Linked DNA regions of Caenorhabditis elegans. The protein of the gene in region 2 interacts with the protein of the main gene of each other region in a biochemical or structural test. Each region holds a gene or a part of one and is shown on either strand. Other genes may lie near its edges.

What was found. The genes of interacting proteins can lie anywhere in the genome.
Region 1: the proteins of flp-8 (region 2) and npr-39 interact in a test that uses a peptide from one of them, tested with the Caenorhabditis elegans proteins (one large-scale study listed by BioGRID).

The regions. Positions count from the first base shown.
Region 1 is NC_003283.11:10,064,028-10,070,276, forward strand, and holds npr-39 (G-protein coupled receptors family 1 profile domain-containing protein), read left to right. Parts: upstream 1-3,041; 5' UTR 3,042-3,059; coding exon 3,060-3,215; intron 3,216-3,264; coding exon 3,265-3,331; intron 3,332-3,401; coding exon 3,402-3,530; intron 3,531-3,580; coding exon 3,581-3,671; intron 3,672-3,906; coding exon 3,907-4,404; intron 4,405-4,449; coding exon 4,450-4,551; intron 4,552-4,596; coding exon 4,597-4,744; 3' UTR 4,745-5,341; downstream 5,342-6,249. Other genes in the region: fipr-13 (FIP (Fungus-Induced Protein) Related), read left to right, coding at 547-560, 609-831; nhr-192 (Nuclear receptor domain-containing protein), read right to left, coding at 5,342-5,592, 5,652-5,904, 5,950-6,060, 6,103-6,249.
Region 2 is NC_003284.9:14,878,228-14,883,903, reverse strand, and holds flp-8 (FMRF-Like Peptide), read right to left. Parts: upstream 2,486-5,676; 5' UTR 2,367-2,485; coding exon 2,244-2,366; intron 2,175-2,243; coding exon 2,041-2,174; intron 1,988-2,040; coding exon 1,837-1,987; downstream 1-1,836. Other genes in the region: sssh-1 (UPAR/Ly6 domain-containing protein qvr), read right to left, coding at 5,185-5,288, 5,347-5,430, 5,484-5,568.

The DNA.
Region 1 (6,249 bases), on a different chromosome or scaffold from region 2:
ACATATAGGGAGTTGTACTCACAGTAAACCTCTACCGTAATCACAAAATAGTGAAGATCAGAAATAAAATTCACGTTTTAGAAACATTTTTGAAACAAGTGATCCAGACAAAATCTTTTGAAATATTCAAAAACCTTTGAAAAGTACACAAATGTCAAAATCTTGCGCTCCCTTCCAGTTCTCTTGCTGTCTTTGTTTTTGTTGGATGAATAACAAAAAACAATAGAACGTCGCTATCTTATTAATTAAAAATTGTTCTACTGGAATCAAATTTTCAGAAGAAAAAATCTGGTCACTCTTGAGAATGGAGGAGAATTTTTTGATTACGTTTGAAAACTAAATCAACAAGAAAACCAGTTCTGCTGGCATTTGTTTCTGGAAAAGTAAAAGGCAAATAGATTAATTTTGACAGTTTTCACTTTTGTTTTGGCTGGAAAAAAGAGTAAATAAATAAGGAAATGTAGTATAAAACGAAATAGAAATTTAGTTTATTTCATTAAAACTTTCTGAACTAATTCACCTAATTCACTCTAAGAACTCTGAAAAATGAATGCCAAACTGTAAGTAGATCAAATTCAATTTCCGATTATTGATTAGAACTTTTCCAGTTTAATCCTGATCTTTACCATTTTGACCATTACCTCTGGTCAGTATTACGGTGGCTACCCAACCGCTAGTGGTTACTACGGTAACGGAGTGTACGGCGGAGGGTATGGAAACGTTGGATATGGTGGATATGGGTATCCTGGTCAATATTATGGAGGATATGAATATGGAAGTCCATATGGATATGTTGGAAAACGAAGCAGTGGATTCGGTCCCAAAAATTGAAAATTAACTCAATCTCCTTCTATTTTTCTCATGTTTTTTGCGGTATACGTTATTTAATTTTACACAAATAAATTTTAACTGTAAGCTTCATCAGAGCACAAAAATTTTTATTGAAAAAAAATTGGGGTTCCGTTTGAAAAAAAGACTAGTTGGGAATTTTGTCAGAAATGTTAAACTTTTTAAAAAGTAAAAAAAAAAAACAATAGTATATAGACGGTGACCTCATTAATATTAATGCCACTCTCAGAATTTGCTCTTCTCTAGTTTTTCCCAATTTGTTATGATAGGAACGCCCATTATAGCCAAAATTAATTTTTAGATTCTGCATCCTACTCCTTTGGAGTTTTTCGAATATTTATTTTTTTCACACTGCAACAACAAGAAAAAATGTTGCATAAGTTTTCCAAATCTACATCATCATTTTTTTTCCCGACGCTCTCTGCTAAATTTTCCATCGTGAATTATGTTTCAAACCAAATGGGAACATCATTTATTCATTTTGAATGACTCTTTTTTATTGAGGAAATGTGAAAAATCATTTGGTTTGACCGACTGAACAATGCGTCAATTGCACCTGAATTTTGATTCACAAGTTGGTTAAATGCCAGACTTTTTTTTGAAATGTCCTGTTATCAAGCAGCTGAAAAACGTCTTCCCGGAGTACTCTCTAAATTCCTAAAAATGGAGGTTTTCATCAAACATTTTAAATATAGACATTAATGCCATTTTTTAGGATTAAAAAGACAATTAATACCCAGTTTGAAAACTTTTTTATTCAAAGACGTTGCGCCTTTGATTTCTCGTCTCTAGAAATTTTCGAAAGTATAATTTGTCAAAAATTCATAACTCTTTCGTCAACTACATTCTCACTTTCATTTCCTTAAATTATTCTGTCACGAATTTTCTTCATTTTTTGATCCAACTCATTCTCATTCTTGATCTTCTAACTTCATGATCCCACTGATCTGACCTATTTTCCCTATTTCCCAATCCCACATGTTTTTGATACAAACGTAATTTATTTCAATCTGTTCCATCTGGCTCTAAACGTTTCTAGGTTTCTATAAGAGATATTTCATTGTGACCGCGATCAAAATTCCTCACTTTTTTCAGTGCTTAGTTTTCGACGGAAATCTTATGCTTATCGGATTTTGTAACAACTATTCCAATAAATCTTTGAGATATAATCTTGTCATGATAGCTGACTATATTCCTCCCGCGCTTATTTAAAATAATTGCAGATCCCTATTTAAATCAAATATTTTTATATATCTAAAAAGGAAACATTTTTTATTTCGAAGAAAAACTTCTCTAAAAACTGTTTGAAATGTTTTCTCGCGTCACGATAATTTATTGAATTAATTTTATAGAATGCAGCCAATATCATTTTGGTTCATGAAACTGAAATCATCACCCGAAACTCAAATAATTTATGAAAACGGGGTTTTTCAAGACCACCTCCGTCATTTATGGTTACTTTTGAGGTTTGGGTGCCTCAGTTTTCAGAGTCAATTATTAAAATCACCTGTATCTATGATCATTAGCAAACCAAGTGGTGTTCATTTTATCGTTCCTTGTTTTTATTCAATCAAATGTCATACCTATACGGCAATCAAAAAAATGTATTGCTGAACACAATGTTTTTTAAAAGTAACCTTTACATGATCATTGTCGAGATTTCAAAAACTCCATAATTTCATTTAAAAATTTGAGTTTCTAACAACTTTCATAGAATAGTAAAGTGTGTTATGATCCCACCTTGCATATAAAACTTATTTCCTTCTTTGAATATTCCTGGAACTCCCGAATGCTTGTTTAAACTTTCAGCCGCTATGAAATCACTTTTGCTTCCGCCACTACAGTATGATTTTGTTTTTACTTCTGCTTATACATCCTATGATTCCTGCTCATTATATTGACGAATGCTTTCCGGATCTCTTGACATATGAACACTTTCTGCTTGACAGAAGTTTTGTAGGCGGGGCATAATGTTTTATGGATCACGATCCGATTTGAATCGGATTGACGTTTGCAAAAGTGATAGATGTACAGAGCTTCATGGATTATGAAACTTCCATTTCATTCTGATCGTCTTATAATTTTTATCCAAATCTCTGATATCATCCAGTTCTCTGACGCCTATTTTCAGGATTGTTTGAACTCAACTTACTTTAAAAGCACTTTGTTTTATCTATTTTCATCTAACTTCTCCACGTTTCAGATTCAAAATGAGTACGATTTCACCAGATATTGTGACGAACTCTACAGAAGAAGTAGCAGAATGTTCACGAAATGAAACTTATGACTTTAATCGATACGCACTTATTGTATACGTTGGAACTCCGATTGCAGTTGCTGGAGTTATTTGCAATTGGATACTATTTGTGAGTTTTTGAATTTCATTTCATCAATGTTGTAATTTTCAAATTTTAGAGACTATTCACCAAGTCAAAGTCGACGAAATCACCAGCCTTATACTTACTTCTTTTAGCAGTGCTAGGTGAGTATTTGAGAATATTTTTTCTACTAAATATTACTTTTTAAACTTTTCTATATTTTCAAATTTTCAGATCTTTTAATGGATCTCCTCTACATTCCCTTTTTCACAGTTGACGCATTAGCAATCTACCACAAAAATGAGTTTCTCTATCATATTTGGCATGATTATGCAATGTTTGTATTTGGACTGAGTAGGCTTGGTAAGAATAAAGATTAAAGTAGTCAAAAGAACGAAATAGCCTATTTTCAGTCCAATTTGCATCAACTTACATAATTCTGTGTGCTACTATTGAGCGATTTATTGTGGTGGCCGAGATAAACTCACTCGATTTTTTAATCTCGTAAGTGAAATACTCAGTACCCATACTTTTTTTCAATTTTCTTTCTTTACGACTTCGAAGAGAGTCAAAACAGTTTCTCCGGTGAATAAGAATCCATTCTAAAAAATTGCGAGAAAAACTAGGAAAACCCCCTGCGGTGAAACTATTTGATTTAGTGCACCTTCCTCTATTTTGATATCAGTAAACTTTAGTTTTAAATGCCTATACTTTTTATATCCTAACCTTTTACTTTCAGGTCAACAGGCCGATTTGTCACTATTGGAATCACCTTCCTAGGTGTTGCAATTCTGAGGCTCCCAGCATTTTTTGAGTATTTCATCACATACCGTCCCGATTGCCCTCTTTATGAAAACTACGACTATACACCCATTCTTGCCAGTTGGGAACATTATCAAATGTTCAATTTTTATGTGATGACGGTTCTTCACATTTTCGTACCATTTGCTCTTCTACTGATGCTCAATATTTCCATTGTCGTTGTTACGAAAAGGAAATTGACTGGAATTGGATGGGCGGTCACAACATTTATTGATATGCCAAAAGTTAGTGAGATGATTCGAAAAGAGTCTATCAATTCAAACAAGAGGCGAAGAGATGAGCTACGGTATGCTACATGGACAATGGTTTCAATTGCAACAACTTACCTTTGTTGTTCGTCTCTTTCCTTGTTTATAGGAATATTGGAAAATGTTTGGCCGGAAAACACACTTCTTTTCCAGGAAGATGGATCGAGGTAAAATTATTGTTGAAATAAATGTTTTAAATTAAAACATTTCAGTACGAAATTTTACACTTTCGCATCAGACGCTGTCAGTATTTTGGTTGCAGTCAACTCACTTCTTCGAATTGTTGTGTACTCACTTTGCAGCCCCAATTTTAGGTAATTGTCCTATCATCACTATGATATAAACATTATATTTTTCAGAAAACAATTAGTGAAAGAATATCCTTGTTTGAAATGTCTCACCTGTGGAAGTGACGGAGATGAAAAAGCGAAAAAAATCAAGGAAGAGAAGAAACTATTTATTGGATATCAGAATTTGATAATGGGTGCCAGGGTGGATATGCTGTGATTAATTAATTTTTATTAAAATAGAAATTATATAAATTAAAAGCGGGTTAAAGTGTGAAAATAAACATGTTCATTTTTAAAAACTGATTTTCCAAATATTTATTTCAGGAAAAATAGCAATTACTGAGTTTTTGTCACTTTTTGAGAAAATTATAGCACTTACGGATGTTTGAATCCCTACAATGTTTGAATAATAAAGCCCACCTTCATGCAAAAACTAAAAGTATGTGAGATTAGATTATATCATCGACGCTTCACCATAACCCGTTGTACTTTGTAACACCCTTATAATTATCATTTGAAGTTGTGTGTATGTAAAAACTTGTGATAGACTAAACACAAACCAGAAGTATTTTTTATAGATCGAGAGTCTAACATTTCAAATTTTACGAAAACATTCAGATTTTGAATAAAATTAGAAACATGTTTACTGTTTCGATTCGATTTTTGATTTCAGTAAGTCCTGAAAATTTTGTTTAGATTTTATTCAGAAATCGGAATATAACTTAAATATGGATTGTATGACAGGAAAAATTGGAAAATATGACATATACAAAAAGTTCGAACAAATTATTACCTATTCACGATAAAATTTATTTTAAAAGTGGAAAGTTTCTCGAACCAGCTTCTTAAAATCAAAATCAGGAGAATGAACGTTAAATATCAAGAAGAAGTTTTCCATCTCTTGTGAATTCTTAGTTATTGTAAGATATAACGATATAAAGTTCGAAAACCTTTCTGGAGCCGTTTGTTCATTATTCCGTTGACAAAGTGTAAAAAGAGCATTGCTGTAGATATTTTGTTGCCTTGATAGTTTTACGACTGCATCCTCTGATATTTCTGGGATCGCTGAAAAAACTACTATTTATGTACAGAAAATAATACTGCTTATCAAAAAACATTCTCACCCGGATTACAGAAGAATAGCAAGTTCATCAAACAGTACTCCTCATCTGTCACTTCCCACTCAAGAAGCTTATCTAATGGTTGGCAGCATATCCTGTGTAAGGTGCTTTTTGACTTTTCGTATAATTGCAAGATAACATCTGGATATATTTCTTGTCCCCCTGGATTCATCATTTTTGATCGTTTTTCATTGACAGTTCTCATGACTCCACAAAAATATGTTAACTTCAAAATCGTATGTTGGAAAATAATTTTCTTAAATACATCAACTATATGCGGCAGCTTTTCAAGTTTACAAACCTTGTCAATATCATGTAGCTCATTTACAAAGTCGAAGTTCAAAAAGTATGAGATGTGAGAATAAATTGCCAAAAAAGCCCATTCTTCTGGAGTTACTTCATAGTTAGGGCCCTAAATGTTGAATAAAATTGAGAATCGATCACTATCACTTACTTGGTTTATACTTGTCACCACTCCTGGATTTTCTAAAATTTCCGCTAAACTTGGGTTATCAAATGAGTAAAATGTTTTAAGTTTATGTTGGCGACTTGAATCCATGATAAGTAAGTTTTGTAGTAAAGTCGTTAACTCGTCTACTTT
Region 2 (5,676 bases):
AATAGTTGTCCTCCTCCTCCTCCTCCTCCTCCGAGAGAAAAATCGTGTGCAGAAGCAATAGCGTGGCCAGATTACGTGGTGACGGTAGCGGCGGGCAGTAGAAACTAGCTGTCAATAGGACGGTAATTGTCTGCCATCATCATCGACTAAAGTGCGACTAATGGCAATAGCCCATACCTCCACCACAGCTGGTCAACATCTCGTTTATCCTGTGTTGCGAACATTTCCGAAATTCTTCGAAGCGTCTTGAGAATTTTTACAACAATATAAAAGAAAAGTATTTCAGGGATAATCTTCCGTCCTCAAGTGTTTGTTTTCCTAATTGTTTACCAGATTCCGCTTGACTAATTTTTAGTGAACTGAAAATTAATTTGCACTGACCAAGTATTTCTGCTTAAAGTATACACCTTGAATTTAAATTTTGCCGTTGACTATATCGCCCAATTTTTTTTTATTATGGCAAGCCATTCTTCACCGAATTATTGAGTCATCGGACTAGTTTCGGAGGTGACGAGGCATGAGAATAAGAAAGTTTCGGCTTTCTTTTTTATCCGTGGAAAGTGAGATCCAGAAGAAAAGTGGCGGAATTTCAATAACTTTGAGATGACGCATTATTACGACAACGAAGCAGGGGTTTTTTAATTAGAAAATCTGAGATGAACTTACTTTGCAGATAGTAAAAATAAAGTTTTAAGGTATAAAAAAGGATTAAAGGATTAAAAGACGATCCCTTCTTCAAGTGCGATGCACTGCGGATCTAGGAGCCAGGTACACTGCCTGATGGTGCTCCTACTGGGCTATAATTTAAGCCACGTCCTAGCCGGAGACTGTGGCGGAAAATCCAGTTATGGATTGCTCACCTTGCCAATGGAGGCTGGGTGAACCTAGGGAGTGAGGCCGGACTTGAACTCGTGACCTCCAGATTGCTAGCGACCACCACTACCGACTGAGCTATCAAGAACTTAGTAGAAAACGGTAAGCAGTTTTGAAGCATTGAGAATTTCAGTTTAGTGGGAACTGAAAGTATAGTTATGTGTTTTAATTTAGAGAAAATTCTTGAACTATCAATCGTGAAACTCGGCTGAAGCCCACTCCTATTTTTGAATGTACTGCAATAGAACCATCTTGATTCTAATTTTCAAAAAATCTTCTATCAAAAACTATGACGCCAAAATTATCTTGTTTAGACTTCTTGAAATCGCTTGGCCCCATCATTTGTCAAGCAAAAAAAAATCACAAGTGTCCCACGTTCTCGTAGCCTAGCGAAACATGAAATATGTTGTCTCATTTCAACAAAAAATTTACTTTTCTTCTTCTCACTGACTATACAACATGTTTGGGCCGAGAAAATTGTATCCAAATTGTGAAATATTTCAATGACACAGGATTTCGGATAGAAAGATATACACAGTTTTTCCTCGAAAACCGGTCTTACGTCTGTTTGATGCGCGCGCCCGCAGGGGGATCATGCGTACTTGTAAGCAAATTTGAATACGATGAGTGGTCATACAAAGAAAAAAAACGGATTTGGTCATTCGGCTGGGACATATTATGCAATTCATACATCAAGCCTGTGAATATCCAAGTCTTGTGAAAATTGAGATAAGATGGAAAAAAAAAGAAAAAAAAACCAGAAAAACAATGAAAGTTTATTCTAACTGACGTTTTGCAGAGATAAAAGAAAAAAAATTAGCATGGAGAATAAGAAATCTAACAAAACATTATCAGTATAGAACACAATTTGGCCCAAATCATCAAGAAGCACACATCCATCTCTGAACGCGAATCACCCGAATCGAATGAATTCGTTCTTTCGTTTCTCCACTGCAAAACCACTTACAGATAAAATACATCAGAGGTGTAACCGAAAAACTCACTGGAAACGTCGTTGTCGTCGAGTCCAAGTCCCTTATCGGATCTTCCGAATCGGATGAACTCATTTTTTCTCTTTCCAAACCGGATGAACTCGTTCTTTCGTTTTTCCATTCTGAGAAAGAAATGATATTTGAAATGACCGACAAATACCAAATATGTACTAACCCGTCACTGCGTTTTCCAAATCGGATAAACTCGTTTTTACGCTTGTTCATCACCGGAACTTCTTGATCGTACAGTGTGACATCTGTCTGCTGCATCACCTCCTGCAAGGCTCTTTGGACGACTTGCATCTCCGCCTGCAAAACATTTTAGATTTTACAGGAATAAAAAACCACTTTGGAAACTAAAAAAAATGATCAACATACCTCAAGATGGCAAATCCGGAGTCCGAGTTCCTTCTCATTCTCGGTGGTCAGTGCGGACACATCACAGCTAGCGTTGGCCGATATGGCGAGTACAAAAATAGAAAAAAGGACTCCGGAGAGCATTTTCTACTTGAAAAGTGTGGACTGAGCACTGCTCGTGGCTTATATACTGGTCCGTCTTCTCCACTAACTTGGGCTCCGCGCACTTTGCTCCGCCTTTTCAGAGGCCACGCCTTCTTGTGCTGAAGAAATTCTAGAGTGTCCACTGGAAGGCGTTTGGTAAAAGAACGCGGGGGCATAGAAAACTTGAAATGGTAAATTGCATAAAACAAGTAAGAAACAGTAAAGTGCTTGTTCTGAGATTTATCTGAAATTGATTCATCGAAAAATTAAATTTACTCCGGTTTTAAAAGTCGTAAGACAATAAACGTGTCTTTGAGAGCAAGTTGATTCAAATTTTAAAAATTTGCTGAAAATCAAGTTTCGAAAACCAACGATATAAAAAAATTTTTTTTTAAAGTTATTAAAAATTATCTCATTTGAAAATTTATTGTATAAACCAGGTTATCTCAACTATCAGGTTAAAAACCGCTTTTTAGGTAAGAAACGTTATCTACGAAAAAACAAATTTTTCCAGATCAAACTTTAGAGTCATACAGTACCACCAAGAAAAATTTTAACATTTTGACATTGTTGTAGCAATTCGTTTGATTTGAAAATGGAAATTTCTCGAAGCTACCCTCGTTTTGAAAAATGAAAACAATGCATATTTATATTTTTGTGTCCTTATTTTGTTTTTTAAATTTTTTTAAAGAGGCCCACTTTACGTTTTTGTGTGTTTTCTTCTTCCTCGTCTATCTATCAGCTGTATAACCGAGCAGTCGAGGGACTGAACACAGTGAATACACGGAATTCATGCTGGGAGGTAACTAACAGATAAATTTAGCCACCGACACCCTCCGAAACTAATTATACCAACTCTATGCATTTGTAAATTGTTGACGTAACACTTGGACTTCTCCTTCATCTAATTCTTCAACTTTTTTCCACCTCTTCTCGGGGGGGGGGGGGGGGGGTACTTTGAAACCAAAAACTTATCCACCGCGCAAATTATTCATCACGAATCAGTTGCTTCCTCGATGATTCGCCTCGCAAAATGATTTCACGGCAATCTCTTCATAAATCTTGCCCTCCAATCATTGAATATTCATTCGAGCAACATGAAACTACGGTGAAGATTGCGTGTATTCAAAGTAAAGGTGCCCACATACTTTTTGAAGAGATCGTCCATGACGAAAATGAATTCATTTAAAGTAGAGTAAAACAAGACTTTTCAAAGAGAACAAAATATCAAGGAGTTCTTATGTCAAAATGGGATGGTCAAAAATGGAAGTCTAATCATTAAATAGTGAATGTCTTGAAAGTCAGTCATCTTATCCTGCATTATAATTATGTGCATAATAAGTGAATTTGCTAGTTTATCACTCCGCCATTGTTTAACAGTAGTCAGTCAGCTTTTTGATTATTTTCCAAAAGTATTCATTCATATTTACAGTGAATATTTTGAAAAATGTATTGTCCTTTAACTATAATTAATGTTGAAAAAATGTAAACCATTCTGTAAAAAGTTGATAATAATTATTAACTGCTCTGAACTTCTCGGAAAGTTATATATTTTCGTCGCCTCGCTATTTTACTAAAACCTTGACTGAAAATTAAGAAAAACTGGAAAGTTTTTGTACGGTTTTATTTTGATATGCGGCCAGCTTGAAACAATATTTACGTGTTTAAACAAAATGTATTTATCTTTAAATATAAATACAGTATTTCTTTTTTACTTGCACCACCTATTGAAAATCAACCCTGTATATTGAATTGAAAAGCTTCCAAATTATTTGATAATTTGACATTTGATAATCACTTTCCGCTTTGTTATATGTAATCTCAAAATTTTTCTTCCGCTATCAAAAATATGCTCGTTTTACTTTTTCTCTATTTTATCACAACATAAAAACCGATGAACGATACTGTTGTGACCGCAAATGTGAGAAGAGGAATCCAAAACACATACACACAAAAATAGTGACGAACGTAATTTCCAATGCATGGTCTTAAGACGGAACACACATAGTTTTTGGCTTGAAAATGTCAAAGAACTGTTTTTTTTCCTGGAAAATGGAAAACAATAAAATTATGGGAATTGTTTCGGAGTGGTTTCCGGCCCATGAGGTACTGATAGGAACTAACAAAAGACTCTTATTTAATTAACTCATTTATTACGAGTGATTCAAGGGGAAAACCTTGAATCACTAACACTCAACATTCATTTAAACGTGCCACCGTCGGGCACGTGCTGCGGTGGTGAAGACCGATGAAGACTGACGATATAGGCCAATGTGCGCTGCGCCATGATGACAAGAGTACGGTCGCAGTCGTTGTTGTATGTGTCGTGGCGAGACCTCATGCGCCTTGAATCGTCCTTTTGGCGGTAGTTTGAATCGGGGTTTCTGACGCCGTCCTTCTGCATGGTTGTTGCCGTTGATTGAAGAGATGATGTTGAGTGTTGAAGAGCAAGTGTTACGTAATAACAATGAATCAATCTTTACATTTAATCATTTGTTAATAAATCCTTAGATTTATTAATAAGTCGTGAGCGAGTGAATCTTTGTATTCACCGACTTCGTGACAGGAATATTCAAAATAGCGAGCTGAAGTTCAAGGGTACTGTTCGAGGAGTAAAAAAAAATTTGGAAATTAAAAACACTTTGGCTATTCTGTGTTCCTTTAAATTTTAATAAACATTTCCAACAACGTAAAAACATTTATTTGGTATGCAATCAAAATACTTCGGCAAAAGTTCTATATAAAACCGATGGAAAATGAAAAGAATAGAGATCTAAGTTTGATTTGATTCCGATATGTAGGTTTAATGAACAACTCATCATAATAATAACACAGCTGCAGAAAACATAATTATTAGTATTAGATTTAAATTGACGTCATTGTTGCATAAATTACCATCGCATGTGCAAACTTCAAGGTTTCCTGAAAGTTATATATATATTTTTTTTTTATTATATGGAACAATTTGAATATTACATACCTTCTCCACTAGTAATTTTTGTACAGTCTGATCGGATTTGTTCTTTTGCATTTGGTATGCAACTTCTCCAAACATGATTGATTCCTAAAATAAGTAAAAAGAAAATAAAATAAACAATTAATTTTGATCTATCTCACCGCTTTTTTCCTGGAAAATCATTTTCATGCAGACTCCATTTGAGCACTCATTGCTGCGAACTCCATCACGAAGAGCTTGATCAACCTGGAAAACTGCTCATTTTAGAGAAATATTAGCCGAGTTAGCCGGTCGGCTGAAATTCGGCTAATGCGGCTAACTTTATCAATTTCAGATTTTTTTGTTCATTCAGCA